Tamandua tetradactyla: one gene and its partners. The protein of the gene in region 4 binds, or shares a complex with, the protein of the main gene of each other region. Links are inferred from orthologs where the notes say so. Each region holds a gene or a part of one and is shown on either strand. Other genes may lie near its edges.

Region 1 (7,609 bases), on a different chromosome or scaffold from region 4:
AGCAGAAGAGATTTCCAAGTTAAATGTGCAAAGTGAAGCCTGGTTTCTCCTCGCAGCTTATAGTGAAATGCAATAGGAAAGAGATAAGTTGAGAACTGAACTTTTGGGTACAAAGAAACCAGAAACTGATGGTCTGGAAGATTTGGGGCTTCCAGAAAGGCAGACCTTAGAGAATAGTGTCCTATGTGAGGATTTAACCAAATATGGAACCAGTCAGCCATTTCAGGAAAAGCCAGGATCAGAAACAGAGTTATCCAGGAAGGATCTGTTGAAAGTCCTATTGTCTGATGGTTATGATCCCTGCATACTACATATAAAACCAACAAGAGTGTGGTGGGATCTGTATAAATGGAACCACTGCGAGTCTGGACTAAAAGGGAGAGAAAAGGGACAAATCAAAGGAAAAATAACATCAAAAGCAGAACCGTGGAAGCTAAGGTTTGAAGCCAAGAAACTTCGGACCAGGAGAGCAGACCCACCCTTGCACTTGGAGAGGGTGAGTCTGCCCTGAAGGCAGAGGGTGGACCTTCCACCTCCATGTTCGGGAAGAGTTGCACTCCAGGCCTTAAAGAGGGTGGAGCACATTCCTTGGAAATTGGGGAGAGTCTGGCTGCCACAACATGGCAGGGTTGAGTATGTACCCCAGAGATGGGAGAGAGCCCAGATATGGCTGTGATTATTAGAGAGGGTGGAACCCAGAAAAAGGTCGTCTCCCCAATATCTCCCAAGGTTGCATTTGGAGAGAGCTGGGCCACTGCATAGGCCATTGGAAAGGGTGGGACTGCTGCTTTCTAAAGCCCAGAGAATAAATGACTCTCAGACTTTCATATGTAAAGGAGTTTGCCTTGCAGGTTTTGTCCCTATATTCCTTCTAGTTTCTCCCTATGGAAATGGAAACATGTATCCCGTGACTGCCCCTCCTTTATTATGTTGGCAGCAGATAACTTTTTCTAAGTTTTACAGGTCCACAGCTAGGAGCATTTTGCCTTAGGACAGATAATGCCTAGAGGTTTCGTACTGTTTCTGATTTTGTATTGCACTTGTATTTTTACTAAAATGGTTTAAGGCTTTGTGATATTGTGATGGAATGAATGTATTTATTTTACATTTGGAAAGAACATGTCTTCTGGGGGCAAAGGATGGAATGTGTTGGTTTGAAACTATCGTGTACCCCAGAAAAGCCATACTCTTTAATCATCATTTAATATTGCTGGGTGGGATCTTTATGATTGTTTCCACGGAGACCTGACCCACCCAATTTTGAGAACTTTTGATTATGTGGTTTCCATGGAGATATGTCTCCATCAAGGTGGGGTTAACTATAGGAGTCCTTTAAGAGGGGATCATTTTGGAAAATGCCTGTACACCTTTTGAGATGCAGAAGGAAAACACTCCTGGGGAAGCCTTAGGAATGAGGAAAGAAAGTTAGCAGACATTGTCATATGCCCTCCTAGCTGAGAGAGAAACCCTGAACTTCAATGGCCCTTTCTTTGGAATTAAGGTATCTTGCTTTGGATGCCTTAATATGGACGTTTTCATGGCCTTAGATCTGTAAACTTGTAACTTAGTAAATTCCCTTTTTAAAAGTCATTCCATTTCTGGTATATCGCATTTTGGCAGCTTACAAACTGAAACAGTAATCCTTCAGTGAAAAGTTCTTTCCAGTATCCTCTGTTCTTTTTCACAGGAAGCAGTTAGATATCAGTCACAGTAATATATTTCACTGGACTCACCATTCAACATTTCCTGTAAGTGGTAGATGAAGCAATCTCATAGGCAGCTTGAAGTTATCCTTTCAAAGCCTATAGAATATATCTGATCCCAACTTCAGAAAAACTATAATATTAAGACATGAATATGATTCTAGCTACAGCTATTAGGTCATTTGGACAAAATTTAGTTATTGCGATAAACCAAAATAGTGATAATAAATAAAAATTTAAGGATTAGGAAAGAAAGCTAATTCATCTAATTTAATGATTTAGCAACTTAAAGAATTTGATGATAGGAAGGATGAAATGAATAGCTAAAATGTTATTTTTAGATTATCTGTGAATTTAATTTGCTCTCATTACTGCAAATGATGAAAAATTAGCTGTTAGAAATTTCAAAGCAATACACTAGAACATGATAAAAAAAGAAAAAGAATTAATCAAGTCACCATCTTTTCTTTCTCTCTTAGACTTTTTCAGGTAGTATGATGAAGATAACAATACTGAATTACTTCAAAAATCCTGTATCTCCTTATAGGAAAAAAAAAAGTTGCAGCACAATGACCAGTAATATTTATTGGAAACAAGCAAACATGTTGTTCCTGAGCCACTAGTTACATTCATGATGAGAAAACCCTATAGGTGATTTTTGGAGTTTTAGAATTCATTTTTATCTGTGTAGGCCAAAATGTATGAATAATTTGTAAATAACTTAAAGAGATTACAGTCTCCCATCAAGAATGTTTTATTTTATTTCTACAACCAGAATTCCAACCTTTTTACAAGTGGGAAGTGGTGATAAATAGAGATTGGCTTCACCAGCTCTAGAAAATTGGTATGTTGACATACATTTGTACACATCTCACGTAATAAAAGGAAGAAGTCTTTCTTTCTGAAGGGCTTCAAAACTTCCTGAAACAGAATTATAAATTGCATCATATTCCTCTTGTTACACAGTTGGTTTGGCTTGGTATGTATTATATCAGCACCTAACAATATAGTTACAAAAATTAATGCATACCTCATCAATGTTACAAATGTACATCCATTATTTCCCTGACTTCATATTTTATTTAATACCGTCATTGTCATTTCAAATCTAGCATCAAGAATTCGATTTTAACATATGTCATGGAACTCTGACATAATAGTCCTGTACAGTGTAGAGTGGACTAACACATTTCCTCATGGGGCGTATGGATTGACTTTTTTTCCTTATTGCAGCACTGCACTGCGTTCTTAGGTCTGTAAAATAATCTCTGGAAAACATAAATGCTGCCCAAATAAAGAACCCTTAATCGGAGCTCCAGTGTGATCATCTAGTGGTCACATGGTTCTGTCCTCACCCCATTCCAGCCACTTTACAGACCCTTCATTTTAAGATTACCAATATAAAGCCATAGCTGCTCGATCATGGAACTAAGGAAAGAAATAAGGAAGCTGAGTTGAATTTAATTCTGTCTATTTACAGCACGTTGCCTGTAAACCCAAACATAATTGGGTTTACAAGTTTCAACTTTTAAGGTTTCGATCATGTCTTTGGTCTTTCAAAAGAATCTGATCGGTAGATCCAGGGCGCTTTTAATTTTGCAGCTGGGTTCCTGGCTTGTTAGCTAATTCTGCCGGCCTCAATGTGCAGTCCACACCTGAAAGGGGGAGTTTTCAACGTTGTGGTTAATTAACCAGGTACTTTCCATTCACTCAACTAACAAATAGAAAACAGAAAGAAAAAGAGAGCCTTCCACTTAATTTTTTTCGCTCCGAAAGTGGAGACGGAAACGGTTAAGCAATACGAAGGAAGAAAATCCCCGCATATTTTGCCTTAACCTGGCTGGACTGATCTAATACCTGCTAACAGGCGCGTGCTCCATTAAAGAGGTCTGCTAGGCGGCTAGTGGAAAGAAGAGAGGTCAGACTTCGCGACGGGAGCCACTGCTGCCTCTAGAGGACAAAGATAAAGATCACCCGTGTCTCAAAAACCTTGTCTTCAATCCGGGGGATTGGGTTCCCTCCCATGGCCCGGCGTGGTAGTGACAGGACCCGAGCGAGCAGGCTGCTTCCCCGACAGCTCCCCAGCTAACATCCTCTCCCCTCTAGCACCTAAATGTCTGAGCTGCGAGCTGGCAGCAGCGCCTTCCCACCTCCTCTCTTTAGTTTCTCTGTCCCCGCTCCACCGTCGTCTGTAACATCTTTGTGCCGCGTATCGGGAAGGTGACGCTTAAGGTCAGAAGACACACTGTACCTAGCAAAAGCCCAAGGCCACCACCAGACCCGGAGAAAAGCGGGGTTATCGGGCCCCCCTGGCAGAGGCTCCGAGTGGAAGGGCCGCAAGAATTTTCACCAGCAGCTCAGTTTCATCTGCAGACTCACCCAACTCTCCAACCCTGGGGAGACGGCCGACGGCCTTGGGGTGGGGCGAACGCGAGCTAACTGCAAGCAAAGCCGGCGGCCGCTCCCCCAGAGCAAAGAGTGTTGGGGGCGGGGAGAGGCCCCTAGATTCCACTTTGTAGGCTGCAGATGCGGGGCAGTATCTCCGAACAAAGGAGCGCACAGCGCGGGGGTGAGTGGCTGAGGTTTGCGTGCAGCTGCCACTCGTGCTGAGCGAGTCTCCACACCAGCTGGGCGAGCGATGGGGTGCAAGAACTCGGGGGAGGTGGGAAAGAGAATCCGAAGCGCGATTCCTGTTGCGCGGCTACGCACCAGGACTTCTTGCGAACTATGGGAATGGCAACTATCCGAGCCAAGGGGGGTAGGGGTGGGGGGAGAGCCAGAGTGAGCAAAACAAAGAGCGAGTGTGGGCCGCGGTGACTTCATGCCTCACCAATGTCCCGCCCACGCTGCTCGAGCTGTTGCTGCCTCTGCCGCCTGGGCCGCCGCCGCCGCGCCTGCGGGCCGCTGGGGCCGAGCGCCGGGTAGCGTGGGGCGGTTTCCTAGCAACTTGCGGCCCGCAGCACGCCTAGCTACCAGCACATCCGGAGACCCCCGGGGTGCCGGGACAGGCCCACCCCACCCCCGCCCGTCGGCAGCCTCACCTCCCCAGCACCCTCGCCCGGTGCGTCCCAGAGAGCGCCAGCTGCAGGGGCTCTCAGCGGCGGGACGTGTGCGCCGTGCGCTTGGGTCAAAAGGACGAGGGCACGAAACCCCCGCCGCGCGAGGCCAGCCTCCCAGCGCCACCGCGGAACCTCCCTGTCCCCGCGCGCGGCCGTCCCCTCCACTCCAGGCCGAGCAGGGAGCCGGGATGCTTCGGGTTGGGCCAGCGGGCGCCGGTGGGCACTCCTAGGGTGCTCCGGGAGACGCCGCCTCTTGGCTGCTGGCACCCCGAGCTTCCTTCCTCGCCAGCCAGGACGCCGCCGCCTCGTCTCTGCCCGCTACTTGTCTAAGGAGGCTGCAAAGCTGCAACCCAGTGCAGTTGCCCTTCCTGCCCACCTGTGGAAGAAGATCGCGCTGACTGATGCGCCATCAACTTTTCCCCCTTCGGCCTCCCCGGCGTCCCCTCCCACAGATGCAGCATCACCCAGTGAATGTACTTTAGGGTGGTTTTTCCCCCCAGCTTCGGGCTTTGTTTGGGTTTGCTTGTGTTTGGCTCTTTGCTAAGCTGATTTATGCAGCAGAAGCCCCAGCGCCTGGAGAGAAACAAAAGCTCTTTTCTTTGTCCGGGAGCCGACTGCCGAGCCCTCGCTCGCGTCGCCGCCGAGGGCCACCGGCAGCCTGAGGCGGTGCTTCGCACGGAGACTGCGGGGGTCGCCGGGCCGAGCTGGGAGGGCCGCGGGGGCCCTGAGATGCCGAGTGGTGCCGTGGCCCGCGTACCTGCACCGATTGCCGGGAGCTGCGGGGTCCGCCCGCGCGTCCAGCGGGTAACGTCCTAGCGAGCCTCGGTCGCGGGCCCCGAGGTGCGCCCCGGAGGCGCGAGCGCGCGCGGGGAAAGAAGCGAGGCGGCGGGCGCGGTGCGGGCTGCTTTGCAGTATGTGCGGCTCGGCCCTGGCTTTTTTTACCATCGCATTGGTCTGCCTGCAAAACTGCCGGCGAGGTCCCGCGTCGGTCCTCCGGGCGACCGGGCTGTATTCAGTTGTTCTCGGACTGGCCCAGAGCGGTAAGTGGTTTTCGTTTGTCTCTTTCTGTCGTTTGTTTTTGTTTTCCTCCTCTTTGCTTCCCCAAAGGTATCTGGACTAGCACGAAAAGCTGCCTGGCCAAACTGTCCGGGCCAACAAAGTAGCCGGGGTCAGCCTTGGTCTGTCCTGGGAACTTGTGTGGCAGAGTCCGCCTCGGCAAGCAGCCCCAGGGAGGCCAGGTGTCAAGCCCTTCCGCCTGGAGTGACAGCAATAACCAATTATACGAGGAAATACTGTTCTTTTCTCCTGGGTTGGGGAAGCAGTAATAAAATGGAAGTTTGGAAGTGAGGTCGTATTTGCAGAAGCCAATTTAGGGAATCCAGCCCATCCTTGAAGTATTTGCACAGAATATGCTCCACATCTGTCTAATATTTGAATACACCAGGTGGCATTTGACTCAAGGCTGTGAATAAATTGACTGTCAATTTTGAGTCCACAACAGAAAAGAAAGCAGCCTGCAAGTGTCTTCTACCATACAGCTCAGCCTGAATGAATTAAGCACACCTGAGTACACGTCTTCTTTTAAGTCACCATCTTTCAGGTTGTTTTTTTAAAAACAACAAAAACTTTCCCAGCTATTTAATCCCTCACTATGATCAGTCCCTGAGATTGAGTAGCAGAGAGAACCCTGAACCCCAGAATTGACAGCTTTCAGTTCAGGCATGCTGCTTTTGTCAGAATTAGCATGAGTTTGAAAGTCTACCTCTTTATAAACTTTATCCTCATTTGTGAAATGAGGACAATACCTGCTCTCCCTAAATCACAAAGGGAAGCTCCATCAAATAGTGTATGAGATGTTTGGGGTTTTTTGGATTATATGCAACGTAAGGTGGTAGGTAGCATTGGATTATAAGCAGAAGTAAAATATACAAGTAAGGGTGATGTCCATTTAGGATGAGTCCTTACTAATTTTAAATATAGGTCAAACATTTATTTTTCCCAATGCAGTGATTATTGCCTGTATATTATATACCTTTTGACCTTATCTGTGTTTAGTGGTCATTGAGTCTTTAAATTCTAATAGAACCTTTCTCTGACCTTTCTGGTTCTAGGAAAGTTTAATAATCACAGTTGCTTTGTAGACTTAAACTTTACTCCTACACTTAAAATTGAAGCGCAAAGTTTCTGCCTCAAGCTAATTAAAACAGTCAAATCATAACCTTGTAAAGAAGGGCTTAAAGTGGAAACACCCAACTAGCTTCACTTAATTGTTGCATATGTAATTGTCTAATGTTTGTGTCAAGGAGATTTACCCAGTTATGTAAAATACGGGCAATTAGAATAAATTTTATCCTGCAGTTATTTTGTGGCTTTTGTGTTGATTTCAAAACAAATGCAACTCAAGGCAAAGGAACAAGTAGCATTGACTAGCATGAATTTATTGAGGCAGTTTTTCTGTAGAGCATAATCCCATCCTATTTCAAGAACAAGTGACAAAGTGTTTTTCTAGATCTGGTAAACACATACACACATAATGGTAAAATGGCAAACTTGTATGAACAGAGTTTATTTTTACCCATACACATGCAAAAGAAAACATCCTACTTACCTCTATCTCTAGATGTTTCTAATAATGGTAATATATTGTTTTATTCATTGTATCTTGTAAAGATTAGTCAAATTCTCATGTGGTAGCACTGTTTGCCCATGAAGTCAATGTAAGTGATTTGAAGCGCATGTTATGAATAGGCCTCCTTGCACCTGCAGTTGTGAAAAGGGAGTGCTTATCTGAAATCAGAACAAAGCATCCTATTCCCAATCTCTGTCAACATACAAAGGTTTCTGATG
Region 2 (6,849 bases), on a different chromosome or scaffold from region 4:
TGGGTGACCCTAATAATTTCACTCACATCTCGGGGCTTACTGATTTGCTTCTTAATAAGGGGAACATTGGTCAAGAGATAATAGCTGAGATTGCAGATTGATGATTTGCATGGAGAGGAATCTCCCTGTCATCTTCTATAGCTGCCAATAACCTCAACAGCTGCGTGTTAGAAAGTTCAGAGGAAAAAAAAAGTTTTTGTCTCATCACTGCTGGGAAATTCAGGGTATGGGATTAATCATATTTTGATTCAGTTTAATTGTTTGTATGTGTGCAGAGTTTGTAAAACTGAAAAATGGCTGTCAAGGTGTATTTAAAATCATTTTTCAACCTTGTAGGTATAAAAATTACCTTCCTTATTTTAAAAATCTTGAGCCAAACTTTCATCTTTTCCTGTTTCCACCTCAAATGGCCCATTTTATGCATATATATATTAACCACCCATGAGAATACACAGAAAATTTGATTAAGCCAAATACACAATTGTACATGAAAAAAATGTCTTAATCTGAGGTTATCATCTTTTTCTCTCAATGGGAATCTCTAACAGAAGGGCATATTGACAGATTTTTAAGATTGCCAAATTATAATGTACATGAATTTTTATGTCAATGATTTCATTGTGATATTTTCTGAAAGATTAATTTGTTCTTGGCAATGCTGAATTCATACTTTTCTCAATTTCACAGGAGATTGAAAATTAAATCAGAAAATTTAAAGGCAAACAAAAGTAAATCAATGTTAATGATAAAATATGACAAAGGCTACCAGTTAAACACTGCACTGTGAAATCAAATATCTCAATCCTGGTCTCTAGAAAATGAAAAAGAGGAGACCTTTGTCTATTAAGTTTTCTGTTTCTTGGAGGGCAATCCAGACAGTTAGAGAGAAGTGTCTTCTGGCTGGAACACCAAAATATGTTGCTGGACTTTGGTTTCCAGGTTCTTGACTGCGCTGCAAGAAAGAATTCAAGGGTACTGAACAGATAGAGCAAGCAAGTAGGAAATTTATTAGATACAAATATAAGAGGACATACAGGCACTCTTGCAAGTAAAGAAAGATGGCAGGCAAGAGCCAAACCTGGCCTCTAACAATACAAAACATCTATCTTTCTGATAACCACAGAAAAAAAAAAAAAAAAAGCCTTGGAATTGATGGGCATTTATTTGCTTCAGTGTGATCTGGGGAGTAAGGAAGTACATGTATATTGCCCACAAGAACTTATGCAAATTTAGAAAAGGAAAAGAAAGGGGAAAATAATTCACATATATCTCCATTCTCAGGAAATGGAAGTGGTGGCAACATCACCCTCCAGATATAATCTGTTCTGTTACATCTCAAATTACCAGGTCATATACTGCTTTTTTTCAGAGTTATGAAGTAACTAGGATAATTAAGTAAAATTTTCTTATGAACTTTTTTTTTCCTCATTCATTCATTATATTAGCTTCCTCGGGCTGCCATAACAAATTGGGTGTCATAAATAAGATAACTTTATTGTTTCACAGTTCTGGAGGCTAGAAGTCAAAAATCAAGGTATTGGCAAAATTATTCTCCCTCAGAAACCTGTAGGGAGACTCCTTCCTTGCTCCTACTTAGCTTCTGGTAGGGTGCCACAATTCTTGGTATTCCTTAGCTTGCAGGGGCAGCACTTCTTCCCAGGTGTATGTTCCTGGGTCCAAATCTCTCTTTTCTCATAAGGACACCAGTCATAACCCAGTTTTGCCTCATTTCAACTAATCACATGTTCAGAGACCCTATTCCCCAAAAAAGGGTAACATTCACAAGACAGGGATTTAGGATTTGAACACTTCTCTGTGGGGTACACGATTCAGCCTATAACATCCATTCATCCAACATGTATTTATTTAAAATCTATTAGGTGCTAGATACTGAGACTATAATAGTGAGTGGAGGGACGATATGATTCCTGCCCTCCAGAAATTAGAGTTAAGTTAGGAAGAAGAATAGAAATTAAGGAATGATGCAAATAATTGAAAAATAAGTGAGAAATTAGAGCCATGGTAAATGTTAAAAGGAGAGGCATATGGTGCCAAGAGAAACTGATAAAAAAAAATCCACTTAGAGAAATATACTCGCCCATCAAGGAAATTATGATTCACCAAGGAAAACCAAGAGTTGGCTTGGTGACGAGGAAGAGAAGGAAAGAGGAAGGGAATTCACACTGAGGAAGGCCCTGTGTAGGAGAGACGGGGCATGCTAAAGGAACTTAGAGAAGGCTCCCTGCATGTGAGAGGAAGTAGAAAATGGAAGATTACAGGAGAGGTGGGGGGTTGAATACATTTAAAAAATTGTTTTCTGTCTTTTCTTTATCTTTAGAGCAGTGGGAGGCTGTTTAATTATTTTAATCAGAGGATTGGTATAATCAGGTTTTCAGCTTGGAGGGACTCCAGCTTTGCTTTGAGGAATGACCCTGAGGAAGAGTGGTTAGGAGATTCCCAAGTAACTCCAGGAAAGGGATAATAGTGACAGAAGTGGGGGGAGGGGTTGTAGAGAAAATGGGGAAAAATGGATTTTTCAATGAACCTTCCTCCATGTTAAAGGGTCTCCAGTTTTGGCAAGGCTGTTGGTGGGAGAGAAGATGTTCAGCTACGCTGAGTTCACCCACTTCCTGCATCCTGAACAAGGGATGTGGGATGGGCGTTTTCCTAAAAGACACATCCAGAGGCAGCTTCAATGCTGGAGCAGTGGGGGTGAGATTTAGGGTCCCAGGATTAAACAAATGAGCCCTTTGACGTGGGTTCAGGAGTAGGGTTTCAGGAAGTATTTACTTTTATTCCCAGTGAAACTGACCACCTGCCTCTGCAAACAATTGTTTTCTCAGATGAAGGAATTCATTGTATAGCCTGCTGGAAGATCTCCTGGCCAGCAAGCTACACAAAATCTAAGACGCTGAAAACTGGACGTAGTATGATCATATAAGTCATTCCGGCCAGGACATATCTGAAAGAGAAAAGGGGGTTCTAATAATAATTAAATTGTGAAAATAGATGTAAACCAAAATTACCTTGGGTAAAACTGGTCGCCCTAGCAAGAAGGGAAACTTGAAAGGTCCTATCCTGCTCCCACTAGTATCCTTTTTGCAAATGAGATGCTAGGTAGTTCTCTTCCTGGGCAATAGTGGAATGCAAACGCTGGCGTTTGGTGAATCCCAGGTCACTTTCATTTTTCCATTTTCTGCCATACTTGATACATTCTGAAAATAACATTTCCTCCATTATCATTCTGTGATGGTTGACCGTTTACAATTATGCACGGACTCAACCCCAGGAAGAGGCAATTCTAGAGCCTTGCTACTGAAAATGGAGCCAACTCCAAGGAGTGCAACTCAGGCCCCCCCAGACCTATCGAATCAGAGGATTCCCAGGTGGCCCATACACGCATTAAATTTGAGAGAACCTGATGGACTTGGTATATACCAGTAAGAAGACATTTTCACAATGTGACACCCATACATATATACATAACTGAACATAATTTTAACGAAGTCATTACTTATCCTTACTATTTTAGCGAAAAAACAGGCTTCGACTCACGAAAACAGATTTCAGGATTCACTCATGGGTCCCGACTGATAGTTTGAAAAACACAACTCTGTAAAGCACCCAGGAACAAACCAAAGGTTAGGACTTGGGAAGGTGGGCTTCGTGGGGGGACTACAGAAAGTGTGGACACTTCCTAGGTTCAGCTGCTTTTCTGACAGGCCTGCCGTTAGTCATTCTGCGCAAATAACTTGGAGAGTGGTGTGGGAGGGCGGTGAGGGGCAGCTGAAAGTTTGCCAAAGCCCTCAGAGGGGCTGGTCCAGGGGAGATGATTGACAGCTTTGAGAGAGAGCCGGGACTGAAAGCCGAGGAGAGGGAGAAGGCTCTCCGGCTGCGAGAGGTCCTGCCCAGCTGTTGGCGAGGAGTTTCCTGTTTCCCCCGCAGCGCCCGGGTGAAGTTGTGAGTGAGTCACTCGCCGCACGGACCGACAACTCCTCAGTGCGCGCACACGCCCGGGGCAGGAGCCAGCCTCCTGCGCAGCTCCCCTTGGCCGCCGGGGGCCCCCCCGCGCCTCGCCAGCCTTCGGGCCCCCTCCGTGCTCGCTCGCGGGCGCCACATCTGGCCCGCACACTAGGCCTGCGGGCCCGGCGCGGGGTTCGGAGAAGGCGCGGCGCGGAGCTGGCGAAGGCGCAGCCAGGGGACCGGGGAGGCGCCGTCCGCTGCGCTCGGGGCTCGGTCTATGACGAGAAGCGGGGTCTGCCATGGGTCGGGGGCTGCTCAGGGGCCTGTGGCCGCTGCATATCGTCCTGTGGACGCGCATCGCCAGCACGATCCCGCCGCAAGTTGAGAAGTCGGGTGAGTGACCCCCCAGCCGGGGCTTGGCGGACTGACTGGGGTCTCCTGGGCTCCCCGCCCCTTCGAAGTGCTTGACAGTCGAGCCGGAGCAGCTAGCGCTCGGGCGGAAACGGGAAAGTTTCCTCTCGCGGCACCCACGCAGCCCGACTCCGGTAGCCGCAGGGGTGCGTGAGTTTTTCTTTAAAAGAGAAGGAAAGTTAGAGTGGAAGGGGGCCTGGGGCACGTCTGGCCCGCATTGTGCGAGTAGGAAAAGGCGTTGTGTTGGCCGCGGCCGAGGCGAGCCCCCACCCCCGGAAAGGGAAGTTTGAGAAGTTGGTTTATCTGAAGAAGGCAGGGAAGCAGCGGCCCGGAGCTGCAGCCATCGAGGCCGCCAAGTCAGCTCGCACACCTGGGGTCACTGCGGGCCGTGGCGATGCTGCGCACCCACCTTCTTCTCTTCCCGAGACACCCCTTTAAATGGCCATTTATTCCCTCCTTAGCGCCTAAGAGTGAAAATGCATTCCCCAAGGCGGGCTTCTGAGCTATTGGATAAAAGTTTCAAGAAAAGAAATGATTTTCAAAGCAAAGTTATCTGGCTCCACTGACATCCTGGCGTTGGATGGGCAGTGGGGATGGTCAGATGGAAGGCTGAGTGCCTACTAGCTGCTGGGGATGCTGCTGAGAGGAAGGCAGTCCTGCCTGCAAGGAGTTGGTGATTCTCTGCAATTCTTGTTTCGGTTGGAAATGAAAGGGTTAAAATTGTGCCTCGGCTGCCCACCAGCTTTTAATCTCTACAGTTTTGGGGGGGGGGGGAATACAGAATTTAGGTTCCTAAGGTTTTGTTATGCAAAGTGTAGAATCTCTGAGACCTCAAAAGCTAGAATTTTTGCAGCTAAGGGCCACATAACTGATTATCTGCAGCTGTGGTCTGAGTAACTGAGTATTTGGGCAAGTCATATGACCTTTTTGGGCTGCATGCAGTTTTCTCACCTGTAAAATGACACAGTTGGATTCAGATTAGATAACTTGATGTCCCCTTTATCTTTAACATCTTGTGGGCTCTTTTATTTCTTTTGATGGCTTGGAGATGGCCTGTGCAGATTTGGGATGAAATTTAGAGGATGACACTCCATATCATGGGGAGACACAGTTTACACTTACCTTTAGGGTGGTGTGGAAGGTGGTAAATTTCATAGGCTGCCTATTTGAAGTAGACCAACGGTAACCTGAGGGTGGGAGTTTTTAATGAAATGAGGAAGAAGTACTGTTGTAAACAAACAAACAAAAATCCTAACACAAATTTAAGTCCTAAGGGTTTAATAAAACCTCACTGTTTTTGTTTTGGGATGTTTTCCTACAGTGCAGTTAACAGAATGCTCAAGAGTCTCTGATTTTACTCTAGACTCTTAAAAACTGAGCTCTGTCTTTGCTAATAAATAATTAAAAGTGGCACCCTTAATTTTCTGCATACATTAAGAATTAAGACTTTTGTTTCAGATTATGAAAGAAGAAAATTAGTGGGCTCCAATTTTGTTTGTCTACATGGGTTAGGTTTTGTTTACAAAAATAAGATTTATAATTTGCAAATTCTGGGCTCAGCAGTTCATGAGTCAGTTACATTCCATATATATATATACACTTTTAAACAATCAGTTTAAAAGCCTGGTAATTTTCTATTTGTCTTTTTTAACAAACCCCACTTTTATACTTTTATGGAATTAAAGTTTCAAAATAGTTGAAATAAATAATTTTGAATTTATATTCACTTGACCCAAATTAAATTTTCAAAGATGGTTGAAGATTGAGATAGTGATAGTGAAGATGAGAAACCTAATTCTACTTGCATTTTAATTTTCTGTGTCAGGAAATAGTTTCAGTGTTTTCTAACATAGTTGGTTAACGGTCAAATCATTTTTTAAAATATCTTAGAGTAAGATAAGATATGAGGAAATGAGTTTGTTTATAGCCTCCTATTAGGTAAGCTGAGAGTATATCATACCATCATCTGTTTAGTAGATTGAAAAGAGAGTAATAGATTTCAGTACAAGAATAAATTTCACTGCCAAGTATATCATTACTATTATTTGACTTAGTAGATTCGCTCTTCATAAGTACTCAAAATTAAGAAATTACTCTTTTAGGGAAAAATGTAAATGCCTGAAAACTGTTTAGATGTGAAAAATATGACCTTTACTTTTCACATACCTAAAGGATTCTTTACTTTCACATACCTAAACATTCATACAAGTGTCATAAGAATAAATTTCTTTCTGGTTCCTACAATCACATTAACAGCATTGTTACTTCTGTCAGGATCAGAGACTAGGAATCATTAGGCCCAGAATTTGATCTCTGGTCTATTTACTTTATTTCCATAAAGCACATTTCCCCCCCAGGCTACTTCCTTTAGTAACATCTTATTTTTAACCAGTTATAGTTTAAACAAAATACTAATTACATTTTGAATTCAGTGCCGACTTTTCAAACTAGCCATCCCATGGTGACGGCTCCTCT
Region 3 (7,980 bases), on a different chromosome or scaffold from region 4:
TTTTATGTGTTTTTAGCTAACATAACATGTAAGTTCAACAGTACATGTATACAATTTATAAATAAAGGACAAATATTGAGAGAAAGTGATTTAGAATCTCACTGATTCTAGTGAGCCACTCATTCATAAAGTTTGGAGACCACTGAGCATTCAAAAATAAGAGGTTGCACAAAGTCTACAGTTCGCAGACTCTTAGAACTTAAGGTCCCCCAATTCTGTCTTTTTCAAACTGACTTCAAAGGAAGCAAAGGGGTGGGTTGGGGAAATAAAAGAATGCTGCAAAGGAAGGAACAGCCAGACCCAAAAATCTTCTCCCATTAGGCACATTTGGTTGAACCACTACCTCTCCGAAAGCTTTGGAAAGATTTGGAATGTAGTAGGAGGTCAAAGGGACCATCTACTAGCAAAAAAAAAAAAAAAACAAATGAAAACCTTCCAAAGGCAATGGGGGGCAAAACGAGGGTCAGCTCCTCCCCAACTCCACATCCCGGGTGGAGCTGGGCTGCAGCGGACAGCCAGCTTGCCCATCTCCGCTGTCCCTACATGCATTCCTCAGTGTCATGAGGCCATGAGCCTGGGGAATTAATGTTATCACAGCATGTAATGTTTGGAGATGACAGGAAAGCACTCCAGTCACGTTGGAGAGAATAGCCATTTAGACTAGGCTGGGAGAAAAGACCCCTAAGGCTCAGCTCAGCATGCCTTCTCCTTAATGCTGCCAGCAAAACAAGATTCCAACTCCCAGCAGCAGTTTAGATGATAAGGATATTTATTGCCTGGCCTCTCAGACAAAAGGCTATGAAAATATATTGGCAGAGTGGAGTCGGCTACAAGGTTTGGTTTTGAAATCATAGCTGCTTTCCATTATTGTTTTCTCCTCACTGATTAGAATTCAAATCTGGCTACAAAACAAAGGACCTGAAGAGATGGTCCCTTCTCCACAAAGGCATCCTGCTTCTCCTAGTTTTTCTCCTTAAAGGCCCAATGGATCCAAATCATCCTCTCAGCACTGCGTGATGCACTGAAGTAGTTTCATCTCAGTGTGGAACCCTCTAAAGATCATCTGCGTGTTTAAAGAACCCAGCCTTCTTAGTAATTATTTAAAAGGAGTCGTGGATGATGTTACCAAGACATTCTCTCTGCTTCCCCCCACTTAACATGTCTTTGTAAAATAAATACTGGTTTTTATTGCTGTTGTTTTGTTTTCATTTTAAGGGGGTGGTCTGGTTAGAGATTAAGGGGCTTTTGTAATCTAGGCCAGGTAAGCCCCTCCTTGAGTTCCTTTATCCAGACCATCAACCTCCAGCTCTCTCCCAGAGCCTCCTAAACACCGGCACTCTAGCTGAATGGACTCTCAACTGCTGTGCCCCAAGCCACATTCAGCAGATCCTACCGAATTTCTCAGTGGCCTCCAAGCTGGGTTTTTCCTTTGCACACTGCAGAGGGAGAAGTTTATGTGGTTCGTATTCCTTCTCCCAAGACGATGCCCAGTTGGATACCTGGCGCACCCACCCCCTCCAGCTGGGATGTATTTGTCATTTGCTCCACACATCACGAACCAACCTGTTGCAGAGCCTGATTTCTTACTATAAAGAAAGAAGCACGTACTTTTAGTCCATTCAGCTGTTTTGAGAAATGAAGGTGCGATCTTGACTCACTGCGTTCTGCCTACCGAATTCTATAATGCCAACAGGCTACTGAGCTTTGTGGCAGTCTTGTCCTTCATGTTTTGTAGCTTGGGAGCTAAAAGTGGAATTTTAACTATGAATTTCCTTGCATTTAATAGTCTAAAGTTAAAAGGCCACCTTCTGTCTTCAGATATGCACGAACAACTTCCACTGGAGTTACTCGTGTATGTCTGAATTTAGTTAAAATTTTGCAACACTCGGAACTATTCAATGACATTCTTTTTCCTTTTTTTAAAATCTTTTTAATGTGCATGGGGAGGGTGTGCAACAATTAATTTTTTTTAATTAATCAAAAGTATTCACTTTACTTGAGAAAATTTGTTTATTTTTTAGGGGGAAAAAGCCATTTGGACACGTTCCTCTCTACGCCAGCTCATGTGTTCCATCTTTATACATTAAGGACCCCTAAGCCTTTTCAAGCTTGGAGGGCTAATTAGCCTAGACCCCTCCTGGTTATTTCAGGGGCAGCTGTGGCTGAGGGGGCACACAAGAGGCCTGAACTCAAGAGAAGGAGATCAAGTTCCAGCTCAGATAATAGCTGTGTGGACTCCAGCGAGTCGCTTAATCTTTCCCAGTATCTATTCATCTGGAAAACATTTACTTTGCAAGGTTACTGTGTGAATGAAAAAGATAATATATGTCAAATTTGTGTTTAACTTTAAGAGTAGCTTGCCTGGTATATAAGCACAAGTGTTAACAAACAAACAAAAAACCAATAATGTTGGAAACAGTAAAAAGAAACAAAGTGACACAAAGTCACACTACACAATGGTGGAGAAATGAATTTGGTACTACTCTTTTGGAAAGCAATTGCAGTGCATATTGATAACATGTAACATTTAAAATTGCCCTCTGATCCAATAATTCCACATATGAGAATTTGCCATAGGTAATAAAAATAATAAGGGGGAAACTTCTATGTTAAAGATTTCCTTCATAGCATTTTTTAAATAATGGAATACGAATGGAAACAACCCAAATGTTCCACAAATAAGGGAATGGTTAAGCAAACTGCTATATGCTCATAACAGAATGATGCCTAGGATGAATCTTATAATGTTAGATGAAATGAAAATGGGTTCAAAATAAATATTCTGTATGACTACATCTTTGTAACAAAGCAACAAAAATCAAACATTTGAAAGGGCCGGAAGGAAATAGAACAAAATTTCCAACAGTAATGGTTATAAAAAAACCCAAAGAAATACATCAAACAAAAAAACCTATCTGAACCTTTATCCCTCTCCGCATACCATACCTTATCCATAGATGGCACTCATTACATATTAAATGACCTTTTAAAAATATTTTATCTTAGCTCTTAATGAACTAGAATGTTCTGTTCAACTAAATTTCCAAGTATCAAAGCTTTAACTTAATTAGCCCTCCACAAACAGTTCTGAAATATTTTCTCCCTGTAGTTTTATCTTATTTTCCTATCCAGATATCTGCAAGATTGTCAATATTCAGGGACTAGCACATTTGGCATTTGGTCAGATAGCAAAAGCTTGGATTTAGCCATTAAGTGTCACAAGGCACAACATCAAAGGAATTTACAAACTGTTGCCCACATAGAGCCTGGTCCATGTCATTTGATCCCAGAGAATGCCGAGCAGTAGGTGATGCGTGGCCCACGCCGGATGGCCAATGTATACATTTCCATCAACAGGAGAACGGGTGAAGGACAACCAAGCGAGGGGCGGCGGGCTTAAGAGGAGACAGCCGTTTTCAGGGAAAGCTCGTCAGCATATCAGAGTGAATTATAAATAAAGCCTCATTAATTTACAGAAATAGAACAAAGCATCCCAAATAGGCAGCTGTTTGGGTATTTGGTTCCCTACCCACCGGGAGTAATGTTTATCGCCTTCAGAGGAAAGCCAACTTTCAGTTTTCTTTTGTGATAATATTATGAAATAACCATTTTGTGTTTCTAGTGTGTTCCACAGGCCTCGCTACAGCTCCTTTGTGAGCAGAGGAGCGTGCTCAGAGCCCAGTGGAGTCATCCACCCAGGAAATAACAGATAGTCTGTTTTGGTGCAACCCACAAAGGAAATGAGTTTTGCAGAGAAGAGGAATATCTCTGTGGCAGAAATTCACTCAGTTCTTAAACTTCAAATGGAAGTGTTTCCTCACATCTGAATTCACTTAAAAAAGCCAAAGAGCAAATGTGCCCCTCAATTAAAGGAAATAAAAGCCCCTTGAAGGCACACGGAATCACAAAATGTTCGAACTAAAAGGAATTTTAAAGACCTCCTCGTACCCCTACCATACACATACACGCATACTCTTTATACGTTTTATACATGGAACAGCTCAGGGAGGTTAAGGAACTTTTCCAAGATCACAGAGCCAGTAAATGTTAAAGCCAGGATTCCAACTCAGGTCTCCTGACTCCACCTCTGTTCCCTTGCCTCTTTACTACTCAAGTAGTTCATGTCCTGCAAACTGCTAAACCTTCACCAATATTGTTCCCCAGATGCCCAAGGGACAGTGCAGCATGGGGGAAAGTCCTTGGAGTCAGACTGGAGTTTAAATTCTGACTCTGTCACTTCCTAGGGTGTGACTTTGGACAAGTCAACCACTCTCTCTGAACCTCGGGCTCATCCATAAGCAAAGATCATAAAGCAGATCTGCCTCACTGTGCTTGTGAGAATTAAATGAGATAATGCACATCAAGTGCTGAGCAGACAAGGCACGTGGTGGAAACTCGATTGACAATATCTACCATATTCACTGCTTCCTTAGAGGCAGGCCCAAAGCCCTGAAATTTCATCCTCAGCCCTCTAAGAAGAGTATATACTCCAAACAGTCTATCATTCTCAACAAAAACTGTGTGGATGTCTCTGTCCTCAGCTGTGCCCAGCCAGAATAAATCTAATACAATCTGGGCCATTTAATACTTGGCCTCATTTTTTATACTAATCTCATCAGTTTTTATTAACATTTCCTGGTTTACCCAATCAAGCCATTTTTAGAGATCAGTGACTTTAAACCAAAGCTACCATTAAAATTGACATCTTGAAAATAACAGGACCCTTCTGAAATGTCAATATAAACATGATGGGAAGTGGATCGTTTGCTTGGATGCCAGCCCAACTGTAAACTCACTCAATCCTATTTTGGAGTATTAAAATCTATATGTGCTTAGTAACCAGCCACCCTGCCATCCACTAGGTTTGAATGTCCTTTATGGAATGAACTTGATCCTCCTGCTTTAATTCTGGTCTCACTCCAGAAAAGCTAATGCTCTGGCATAGTTCTGCCATTTGTCAGCCAGAAGTCTGGTTACACATTTGCTCGTCAATCTAAACCTAACCTATTCTCATATGAGCACTTGGGGTTTCATGTAAATCAGCCAGGCGTTCTGTCATTTACGAGCAGTATCTCTCCCTAAGACTCTACCCCCATGCGCCTTCATGAAATATTTCACCATGTTTGTGGAAAAAATATTCAAATGAATGTGCTTTTTCAGGAATGGTGGCACCAGAATGTTATAAATCTGTTTATTACCACAACAAGGATAAATGGTATTTCTGCCAAAGACTTTTGATAACGGGTGCAGTCATGCATCTCAGCAATCTCTGAAATTAAAGGTCTGCCCTGAGAGGTAAGTAGTATAATGCATGACTAACAAACGCAAACCCAAATTTGGGAACTGAGTTTTCCTTGTCAATGTAATTTATAGTTTCCAACAGATTCTGCCTTAGAAAGTTCATAATGTAATTTCTACTAATATTCACCTGGATATTAACATCCAGGTGAATCTGACCCTGAGGTTTGTAAAAGGGCAGATTCTTATGCTCTATTGAGATTTTTCTTACATTTGGATTTGCATGCTTTAACAGCTTCACTTCAAAAACCTGCAATGGTTTCAGAACAATATTTCATAGAGGTCATTATTCAGTAAAATGGTTAATGTTTAGCTAAATAGTCTCTTGTTAAGATCTTAAAGGATTTGTTTCTGACTAGTATTCATTGTTGTTTTTTTTCTTTTTTAAAATAAACAATGAAACTGTAGCCTTCACTAGTTTTTATGGCATTCCAAAAGGCATGAAAGAACTAAAGAACTGGAAATTTAAGTTAGAAGAATAAACATCAGTTCTCATTGACTTGTGCATGACGTGGGCCAATTAGTTCAAATGTTTCTTAACTAGATTGTAAAATAGTGTTTTAATGTAGAGCTAAGCCATGAGAATTAGGGAGAAAAATAAAGAGGGGAGGGCTTCTAATAGAGACTTGTAATCTACAATGAGCACGTTTCATTCCTACAAGTGTCTGAAAATGCCTGGTATCAGTGCCATTCACCATGGGCACTCTAAGTACAGCCCTGTAAAAAAAAAATCTAATATCTCTGAAAAGTTATTCATCCAGATTATGTGTCCTCTAAAATGAACGACTCACAGATGGAGCTATATCCTATTGGCTCTCAAAGTGCTTGAAATGGACAGAATATGGATTCTGGTCAGAGAAAAATGGTTTTCTTTTATGTTTTAGATATTGAACAGGTTCCGAAGATCATATCTAAAAGTTTTTAATACTGAATTCAAAATATGAAGTCACTTGGTCATAGTATGAAGATTGGTATCTACCTAAGTAAAATCCTGTGCCTCATTGAAATGCAGAAATGCCTTCCACCTCAGTCTCAGATTTTTCTTCATCCCCATGGTAGCCTTTTTCCTCTAGCTGAAGCCTACTCCCTCTAGTGTTTACTGGACAAAGCACAGGATCTAAACTTCAATTTACAAAAACAAACAAACCAGCAAACAAAAAAACTCCAGGGGATTGCAATCTATTGATATGTTGCTGGTGTATTTAAGCAAACTTACCAGCAAATGTTTAGACCAGAACTCTGGGCGATAGCAAAAGTTTTATCTGAGAGTCTCAAACTTAGCAGAATCTTGTTTTCAAACTTCAGATTCCAAATGGACATCTGTTTGTTAGGGTTATGTTCCTTCTCTGCCTTTGGATCCTTGCATTCTAAATTTACTTTTATTGTGACAACCAGAAGGGGAAAAGATACTCCAATAACTAAAGTGTGCTAGCAGGCGTTTCTTTGACATATTTCACAGAGGTAGAGCTTGCTCTATGATTCTTCTAAGTTACCCGAGGGGACCCAGGTATCTTGACTCAAGAGAAAAGAAATTTTTTTAGAGATGGACTTATAGAAGCCACAGGCATATTTTCAGCCACAGAAGCCCTCTTCAAATCAGGAGGAATAGCCACTTGGGAAATGTATTGCTTATGGGCACTTTTTCTTTAGAGAGAAGAAAATAGTCTCTCCAGGCTGTCAGCTGCCATTGCTGCTGCTTTGGAAATGGGCCACAGCTGATTGTGGGAGCTAAGTATAGTTTGAGGTCATCCAGGGAGCCACCCAGCCTGCTCTCGGGGATGGCACCCACCTAGCCACGGCGCTCGGGCCTGCCAGCCCAGCCCAGAATGCTATTTTTGGTTGGAGTTCCTGCAAGCAGGTCCTTGACTGTCCTTCACATTGCTGGCATTGAGTTTCCTCTTCACCATTCTGCACCATTATCTGCTCTGTCCCCCCACCTCTTCTTTCCTTACAATGTCCTCACTTCTTGTGAGACCCCCGTAGGGTTAAACCGTACTATTAAAACTAAACTCTTGTTTAACAACACAGAGTTCATCCAGGTATCCAACTCTACGACCCCTAATTACTTCAGGCTCATTTGGCCTTTCTTCACTAAATCCATCGACCACCAGGCATCACCGTGTCTTGTCCACTCAGGTTCTCAAGCACCAGTCGTTGATCCTTTCCTTTTGCATGTCCGCTTTTGTTACATTTCATCAACCTTTGCCTAGACTTCTATAAGAACTGTTCCAACCTGTCTCCTTGCCTCCTAACCTCAGTTATCCTTCAAAAGTAATAAATCAGGATGCATTAATCTTCTGTTTAAAATCCTTCAGAGGTTTCACAAGATAAATTTCAAACTCTTTAGGTTGTTACTTAAGATTCTTCAAGATCTTCACCAGCTTTCCATCCTTCCTTCATTGCATAAACATAACCAATTGACATACAACATAAACCCAAATATTTACTATTCCCCAGACCCATCAGGCTCTTCTTTGTGTCCATGCGTTTGTCTTCTCTGCCGAGCAATCTTCTACTTTTCTTCCTTAGCCATTCAGTTTGAGCACTGTCTTTTTGATGGCGCTTCCCCTCCGTTCCCATAGCTTCCCTCACATCACACACATCCATACAGTGAGTCTATCACTCCATGTGCTGCCCAAGCCCATTGTTACCAATTAATTATTATATCACTACACACACACA
Region 4 (7,587 bases):
GCAAATGTTCTAAGAAATGATCATGATGATGAATAGGCAACTATGTGATGATACTGTGAATTACTGATTATATATGTAGAATGGAATGATCACATATTAAAAAAAAAGTGGGATGATGTGGAAGAGACAAGTTTTTGGATAGCAGGGCTATGGAGAGCCCCTCTGGAAATGGCACTTGAGCTGAGGCCTGAAGGATGAAAAAGAGGTAGCCATAGGGAGAGCCAGGAGTGGCAATTTCTGGGCAGTAAGTGCAAAGGCCCTGAGGTGGGAATGAGCACGGCACACTGGGGAACAGAAATAGGACCAGTGAGGCTGTAAGTTGGGGAGGGGGAAAAGCGATGGGAGCTGAGGATGGGGGTGGGGGAGGGCTTTGAGAGCTGGGGGATGGGGTGGAATGGGTGGGGATTAAGAATCCTAGAGGGTGGCTTAAATGAAGTCATTACCTAAAGTGCTTCATACAGTATCTGGCATGTAGTGAGCACCCAGTATGCTTTTGCTATTGTTATCACCCCTCAACAGAATTGCTATTCTTCCACTGTGCCCCCATAGATGATACCCTCAGCCCCATCTTAGTCTTTGCACTAGGATTTTTAATGTGGGGGTGGGAATAGTGATAAAATATCAAACCCTTACCCAGCACTCACTATTTCCCAGGTGCCGTTCTAGGGGCTTTTTCTGTATTAACTCTGATTCTCTCAAAGAACGATGAGGAAAGTATTATTCTTACACCCATTTTACAGATGAGAGACTGAGGCAGAGAAAGTTATCTCACCCAAGGTTGCAAAGGCAGGAACACGTAGTGCCAGGATCTGAACCCAGTCATTTGACTGCTGCCCATGCTTTGTAACCTCTGACCTCAAATGCCAGGGTGAAATGGGGATCTAAAAGCCACAGTGATGTCGTTGCCTTCTGGGTGGCTGTCTCTTCCCCTCCTTTCTCTGTCTCAGGGCCCTGGCTTTCCTCACAGGGGCAGCATGGAAGCTACTGTCGGGCGTACGGGAGGGCCAGACGCAGGTGGACACCCCCCAGGTGGGGGACATGGCCTACTGGTCCCATCCCATCGACCTGCACTTTGCCACCAAAGGCCTCCAAGGTAGGTTCCAGACCTGGGTCCCAGGCTGGGGTGAGGGGGATGGGAGCGAGAAGCTAGCAGCACCAAGGCTGCAGGGGCTGGAAATACTATGCCCCATCTCTACTTCCATACCTTTTGGGCCCCTTTCCCAGCCACGCCTGGCCTGGAGAGGCTGAGCTGAGGCATCCCCAGCCACTGGCCTGTCAGGAGGTCCCAAAGGCGGGGGTCTGGGCAGAGCCAGGGAGTGGAGGGGGAGATGGGATTGGGGGGCAGGGTGGGAGGGGAGGGGGCTTCCAAGAGACAGATGAAGAGGGTCTTGGATGAGGAGGAAGCCTGGAGGGGGGTTATGAGAGAGAGCCAGATGAACAGACAGGTGTGGGGACTAGTGGCAGCTCCTCAGCTTAATAGCAGAGGTGTAGCTCAGAGGAGTTGAGCATTCAGGGGAGTGGGGTGTCAGCAAACATTTTATGCTGAAGAATTTGGGTTATTGGAAAGGAACAGATCCCAGGACATAGCCCAGGTAAATATGCCGTTTATTCTAACGATATAAATAATGTTTACGTATGGTCTGCCCTGTGCTGGGTGATGCCAGGGAGACTCTGATGCCATGGCGATGAACAGCCCCAGCCCTGTTCTCACAGGACTCACTATCCAGTGTGGAAGATGGACCCAGATAGTGCCAGGTCAGAGTGGGCAGGCCTGGCAGCCCGTGAGGGGCACAGGGGACTGTAGGAGCCTAGAAGAGGGAACTGACCCTGCCAGGGAAATCACAGAAGGCTTTCTGGACGAGGGGGCATTTGAACTGCAATGAGAAGAGCCAGGAGCAGCTAATAAGCAGAGGAATTGAAGAGAGTTCTAGACAGAACTGCATGGGGAAGGCTCAAAGGGGAGAGTGAGCCAGAGGTATTTGAAGGGCTAAGAGAGAATGGGAGGATGCCAGGGAGCAGAGGGCAGGCTGTGCAGAGTCTTGAATGCCAGGCGGGGAAACTGAGGCCATCTGTTGAAGGCACTGGGGAGCCAGAGCAGGCAGTGGACAAGTCAGTTAGCACTTTTAAAAAGATCCTCTGGCTGCCATGTGAGTGATGAATTGGAGGTGTGAGACAGGCAATTCTGTCTCCCACTATTGGCAGCATCCTTGCCTCCTCTCTTTTCTCCACCCTGCATTTCATCACCAGGAAATCCCACTGGTTCCACCTTTGAAATATATCCTAAATCCCGCTACTTTTTACCCCTTTTTCTCTCCCAGCACCCTGTGCTATCCATTTTCATCTCCCTCCCGGAAGAGTACCCCCAAGGTCTGTTTCCTACATGCAGCCAGAGACTGCATGTCCCTCCCTTCTCAGAACCATCTCATGGCCCCCTCCACACTCAGGATAAAAGCTGATCTTACCAGGCTGCTCAAGGCCCTGCACAGTGTGGCGCTGTCATTCCTCCCTCTCTCTCTCCCCTAGGGTCACTCCACTCAAGCCATATAAGCTACGCCAGGCACACATCCACCTCAGGGCCTTTGCACTGGCTTTTCCCTCGCTGGAAGCGCTCTTCCTGGATGTCCACATGGCACACACTTTCCTCCTTTAAGACTTCGTGCATATCACCTTCTCCATGAAGCCTTTCTTGCCCTCCCCCACCCTTTTCTAAATCTGCATCCCCACCCCTACCCTACCCTGTCCTTTTTCCAGAGCAGTTATCACTATCTGACATACCCTATAATTTACTTATTTCCTATATTCATTGTCTAGGATGCCTGCTTCACAAGGGCAGGAATTTTTTCTGCCTCATTCAGGGCTTTCTCCTCAGCTCCTAGAACAAAGTCTGACACAGCATATGGGTCAGAGTAGAGGGTGAGATGGGATTGGATCTCTAAGGGCTTTGACTGCCAGGCTGAGTTGTTGATCTGTATTCCAAGGATACTTGGAGACCTGTGGAAGGGAGAGAAAGATGCATATGGCTGCCAGGTGAAAGAACGGAGGGGGCAAGAAAGAAGGCCCCAAGCCCAGGGAGGTCAGGCTGGGGTCCTGGGGAGGGGAGGAGGGAGACCTCTAGGACAACAAGGCTCAAGGCTCTAACCTGGGGACTTGGGGAGCAGAGGGGCTACCTGGAGATGGGGACATGGAAGAGGAGGCCACAAGAAGGAAGTCAGCAGAGGTCAGATCCAAAGGAACTTGGATATTAAGGGAGTTGGAGTTTACGCTGAGGGTACTGGGGAGCCATGGAAGGGTTTTGAGCAGTGGAGGAACATGGATTTAGAAAGATACCTTTGGTTACTGTGGGGGTGGGGGGCGGGAGGCATGGATCACGGGGTAGAAGCCCAGGTAGAAGGCTGGGGCAGAAACCCAGGAGGGAGAAGGTTGGGTGTGGGGGCTCCAGTGAATATCTGGGAGAGGATTTGGAAACAGGAGGCTGGATCCTGAATATCCCAGGCTGGATGATGCCCACTCCCTGTTTTTCTCCCTCCTGTCCTGCAGGCTGGCCCCGGCTGCATCTCCAGGTGTGGTCCCAGGACAGCTTTGGCCGCTGCCAGCTTGCTGGCTACAGCTTTTGCCATGTGCCCAGCAGCCCGGGCACCCATCAGCTGGACTGTCCCACGTGGCGGCCCCTGGGCAGCTGGTGGGAGCAGCTAGCCCGGGCCTTCGTGGGTGGTGGACCACAGCTGCTACACGGAGACACCATCTACAGTGGGGCCGACCGCTACCGCTTGCACACGGCTGCTGGTGGCACCGTGCACCTTGAGCTCGGCCTGCTGCTGCGCCACTTCGACCGCTATGGTGTGGAGTGCTGAGGGACTTTGCCGCCACAGCTGCTCCCACCCACATCTCTGGATCCTAATGAGAGGCAGGATGCCACGGTGGTCAGGCCTTGGGCTCTGGAGTCTGACAGACTTTGACTCCAGCCACACTGGGCCCTGCTGCTGCCTTTATTAGGAACTGGAACCAGTGATCAGACCTCTGGGTCCCAGCTTCCCTTTGTAAATTGGGAGCAGTGAGTGCTGAGAAAAGGCTGCTTAGCACCTGGGAGGGGCTCAATAAAAGAGAGCGCTTCTTAGGGTGTAACTGCCTTCTTGACCCCCTTCAACTGACCAATGCCTTTTGTGGCAAACCCTACACATACACCCTCCCTCCTCAGACCCTCACCTTCTGCCTCAACTTCTGACCCTTCTCCCCGCTCTGTGTGCCCCTGTTCTGCTCCACTCTCCCCTTTGTCCCCATCCGAACAAGCGACACACACACAGCCCCACACTCCACGTCCTCGTTTTCTTGCTGACCTCCCGCCGCCTCTAAAGCCCCGCGCGTCCCGGTCGCACGTTTTGGTAGCTCTCGGCCGCCAGGAGGCAGCACCCAGTTAATGGGGCGGAGCCAGGGTGCCCGCCCTTTCTCCCCCCCACCTCCAGAGGGACCCCCCTCGGAGCCCGCCCACTCGAGATGAAGACAGTGGCCCGGCCCCCCGCCGTGCCCTCCCCTGGGGGCCGCCCCCGCCCCGTGCGCTTCCTGGGTGGGGCCGGGGCGGCTTCAAAACCCCCTGCCGACCCAGCCGGTCCCCCGCCGCCGCCACCGCCGCCCTACGCGCTCTGTTCCGTCCCCCTCCCTCCTGCTGCCGCGGATCCACCAGACAGCGAGGCCCCGGCCGGGAAAGGGGGGACGCCCCCTCCGGGGGACCCCCCCGGCTCTGAGCCGCCCGCGGGGCCGGCCTCGGCCCGGAGCCGGAGGAAGGAGCTGCCGCAGAGCAGCCCGAGGCCCCAGAGTCCGAAACCAGCCGCCGCCGCCCCCGCCGCCGCCGCCGCCACTGCGGGGAGGAGGGGGAGGAGGAGCGGGAGGAGGGACGAACTGGTTGGGAGAAGAGGAAAAAAAAAGTTTTGAGACTTTTCCGCTGCCGCTGGGAGCCGGAGGTGCGGGGACCGCTTGGCCCGGCGCTGCCCGCGAGAAGGCAGGACTTAGGGACCCCGAACTCCCACCCTCGCCTCGGACGCTTGCTCTCTCCCGGCCCCCTACATCGCGTCCCCCAGACGCCCCCATTCCGGACCAGCCCTGAGGAGCCGCAAGCCCGGACTCCCGCGAAGACGTTATCTACCCCGGACCTCCGGCGCGCCCCCCTGCGCGCCGCTCCCTGGCCACCCGGCCTCCCTCCTGAGGCCCGGCGCATCCGAGGACCCTTCCTCCTCCGGGAGACGGGATCTCTCGCAGACCTGACTTAGCTCCCCCATTCAAGACCATCCACCCTCTGGTACCAGCTCTCGTCCATCTCCATCTTTTCCGTGGGATACCGAGCCACCCCACCACCACCACCCCGCCAGAGCCTCCCCTCCAACCACGTCGGCACCCTTCTCCCGGAGGGCCTCGACTTTGCCCCCCAAACCCTCCTACCTTCCCCCGGGAGACCCCCAGCCCCTGCAGGGGCGGGGCCTCCCCCCACCACCCAAGCCCCGTTCGCGCGCTCGGCAGTGCCGAGGGGCGCCGCCTCCCCCATGCCGCCTTCCGGGCTGCGGCTACTGCCGCTGCTGCTGCCGCTACTGCGGCTTCTAGTGCTGACGCCGGGCCGGCCGGCCGCGGGGCTGTCCACCTGCAAGACCATCGACATGGAGCTGGTGAAGCGGAAGCGCATCGAGGCCATCCGCGGCCAGATCCTGTCCAAGCTGCGGCTCGCCAGCCCCCCGAGCCAGGGGGAGGTGCCGCCCGGCCCGCTGCCCGAGGCCGTGCTCGCCCTCTACAACAGCACCCGCGACCGGGTGGCCGGCGAGAGCGCCCCGCCGGAGCCCGAGCCCGAGGAGGACTACTACGCCAAGGAGGTCACCCGCGTGCTAATGGTGGAAAACAACCAGAGTGAGCTCGGGGGGCAGGGAGCCGGGAGGGGGCCCCCAGGGGGCGCCGGTGTGCAGGGGTCCAGGGGAGGAAATTCCTGGCAGGGGAAACCGGCTGGACGGACAGGACCCCCGGGCTCATGGGAAGGGGTCTAAAGAGGGTGGGGCTCAGCATCCCCTCCCCGTCCAGGTTCAGGACCCCTGGGAGTGGACCGCTTCCGGGGGCGGGGGGTGCTGGTAGCGGCAGGAACAAGCAGCTCGTGGACAGAGACCCCCTGGAGAGACAGAAGCAGGGGGCGGGGTGCAGAAAGGCTTCCCCCCCACGGCGCGCTAGAATGCGGAGGTTTATGGGGTGGAGAGGGGAACCCGGTTTGGGAGAAGCGAAGACCCCGGTATTTGGCAAAGGAGAGACGGTGGAAAAAGCTGCCCCAGAACCCGGAGGCGCGAAAATTTAGGAAGGTCAGAAAAGCTGGTGAAGCGAACCCCCCACAGGTGCCGAGAAAGTGAGAGAGCGGACCACTTCCAGAGGGCGCGAGGGACACGCAGGATTGGGACGAAGGTCCCAGAGAGAGAAAAAGGGGGAAAGTGATAAATGCCGGGAGAAGGGGCCGCGGGGTCATGGGGAGGGGGAGGCTAGCGGGAGGGAAGCGCAGACCCCAGAAGGGTCCCGGGGAGCTGTCGTGGGTGTTTCGTAGAGGGACACGTGCGATACAGAGGGGGAGCCCGCGGAGGAAGCGACCCTCCGGGAAAACTGGATTACAGGGTCACGGGAATGGTTTTACCCAGAGGGGAGACAAGTGTGGGAACGGTGGACCTGGGGCGGTGGGGGGGGGCGGAGGGTGTCATGCTGGGAGCAGGGAGCTCCCCCCGCACGCGGCCGGATGGGAGTGGAATGAGTGAGAAGTTGTACCTTCCGAAAGAGGGGGGAGGGTGAGCGGGGGTGACTTGCTAAGCCCGGTTTGAGAAAACCGAGGGGGTCGGGGTGAGACAGCCCCACGTGGGCGCCACGCGCGGGGGGAGGAGCCTGCGCTTCCGGAAAGGGGGAAGGAGGACCCCGCAGAGCTCAAGCCTGAGCTCTGGGACCCCAAAGTCCCAGTTCCTCTCGCGGCGGCTGGGGAAACCCCAGCGTCCGGCCGCCTCGCCCTCCCTGCCCCCCTCCCTCTTCCTTCCCGTGTCCCCGGGGGAGGCGGGAAGCGAGCGCCGAGCCTCGGGGCGAGACGAGGCAGGTCCGTGCCCCGCCCCCGCGGCAGCGACGCCTCCCGCCCGCTCCCCCCATCCCGGCTGGGGGCGGGGCGACCGGTGGGTCCGCCGGGTCGGCGCCCACGCAGGGACCCTGGCGTCCCGGCGCCCCGCGTGAACTTGCCTGTCTCGGGGCCATTTTTGCGCCCAGGTTGCGGGGCCAGCCTGTCACTCTCCCATCTCGGTCTCTTGTCCTTTCCCATCGCGTCAGGGTCATTATAGAGGTTTCTCTAACAAGGATCCTTCCGTGTCCCCGTCTCTGGGTCCCCCCCACCCCCATCCCAGACTGCCTCGCTGTCTGCGGCGGCCCCACATATCTCTCTCTTCCCGCGTGTGCGTGTTTCCCCGTCTCTGCCTGACTTTCCATCACGCCCCAGTTGCACCCATCTCTTTCTTCCTTGTATGTGTGATTCCTCTTTGTTCATCTACTGCCTTGTGTGGGTCTCCCAGTTTCTGTCTATCTCTCCCGAATTCCCATTCCCCC

The links.
Region 1: the proteins of TGFB1 (region 4) and ITGB8 are in contact, whole or in part, in a cryo-EM structure (PDB 7Y1T), measured with the Homo sapiens proteins. The link is inferred for Tamandua tetradactyla from reciprocal best matches to the Homo sapiens genes TGFB1 and ITGB8. Residues at the interface, in NP_000651.3 of Homo sapiens: His117, Thr241, Arg243, Arg244, Gly245, Asp246, Leu247, Thr249, Ile250, His251, Gly252, Met253; in NP_002205.1 of Homo sapiens: Ser156, Ala157, Ser158, His160, Asn161, Asp213, Tyr214, Asn215, Leu216, Gly248, Asn249, Ile250, Asp251, Thr252, Glu254, Gln286.
Region 2: the proteins of TGFB1 (region 4) and TGFBR2 are in contact, whole or in part, in a cryo-EM structure (PDB 9FKP), measured with the Homo sapiens proteins. The link is inferred for Tamandua tetradactyla from reciprocal best matches to the Homo sapiens genes TGFB1 and TGFBR2. Residues at the interface, in NP_000651.3 of Homo sapiens: Arg303, Lys309, Trp310, His312, Tyr368, Tyr369, Val370, Gly371, Arg372, Lys373; in NP_003233.4 of Homo sapiens: Phe47, Leu50, Phe53, Asp55, Ser72, Ile73, Thr74, Ser75, Ile76, Cys77, Glu78, Val100, Asp141, Glu142.
Region 3: the proteins of TGFB1 (region 4) and ITGB6 are in contact, whole or in part, in a crystal structure (PDB 5FFO), measured with the Homo sapiens proteins. The link is inferred for Tamandua tetradactyla from reciprocal best matches to the Homo sapiens genes TGFB1 and ITGB6. Residues at the interface, in NP_000651.3 of Homo sapiens: Pro70, Gly71, Pro72, Glu75, Leu158, Asn237, Gly245, Asp246, Leu247, Thr249, Ile250, His251, Met253, Asn254; in NP_000879.2 of Homo sapiens: Ser142, Ala143, Ser144, Asp146, Asp147, Pro196, Cys197, Ser199, Ile200, Pro201, Tyr202, Lys228, Lys231, Ile232, Ser233, Ala234, Asn235, Ile236, Asp237, Thr238, Glu240.

Annotation. Positions count from the first base shown.
Region 1 is NC_135327.1:103,729,195-103,736,803, reverse strand, and holds the start of ITGB8 (integrin beta-8), read left to right. Parts: upstream 1-4,599; 5' UTR 4,600-5,675; coding exon 5,676-5,802; intron 5,803-7,609. UniProt on the Homo sapiens protein: Integrin alpha-V:beta-8 (ITGAV:ITGB8) is a receptor for fibronectin. It recognizes the sequence R-G-D in its ligands.
Region 2 is NC_135341.1:57,549,070-57,555,918, reverse strand, and holds the start of TGFBR2 (TGF-beta receptor type-2), read left to right. Parts: upstream 1-3,832; 5' UTR 3,833-4,262; coding exon 4,263-4,356; intron 4,357-6,849. UniProt on the Homo sapiens protein: Transmembrane serine/threonine kinase forming with the TGF-beta type I serine/threonine kinase receptor, TGFBR1, the non-promiscuous receptor for the TGF-beta cytokines TGFB1, TGFB2 and TGFB3.
Region 3 is NC_135329.1:130,969,556-130,977,535, reverse strand, and holds the start of ITGB6 (integrin beta-6), read left to right. Parts: upstream 1-4,968; 5' UTR 4,969-5,295; intron 5,296-7,980. UniProt on the Homo sapiens protein: Integrin alpha-V:beta-6 (ITGAV:ITGB6) is a receptor for fibronectin and cytotactin. It recognizes the sequence R-G-D in its ligands. Internalization of integrin alpha-V/beta-6 via clathrin-mediated endocytosis promotes carcinoma cell invasion.
Region 4 is NC_135342.1:22,447,964-22,455,550, forward strand, and holds the start of TGFB1 (transforming growth factor beta-1 proprotein), read left to right. Parts: upstream 1-4,581; 5' UTR 4,582-5,531; coding exon 5,532-5,886; intron 5,887-7,587. Other genes in the region: B9D2 (B9 domain-containing protein 2), read left to right, coding at 968-1,093, 3,538-3,851. UniProt on the Homo sapiens protein: Transforming growth factor beta-1 proprotein: Precursor of the Latency-associated peptide (LAP) and Transforming growth factor beta-1 (TGF-beta-1) chains, which constitute the regulatory and active subunit of TGF-beta-1, respectively.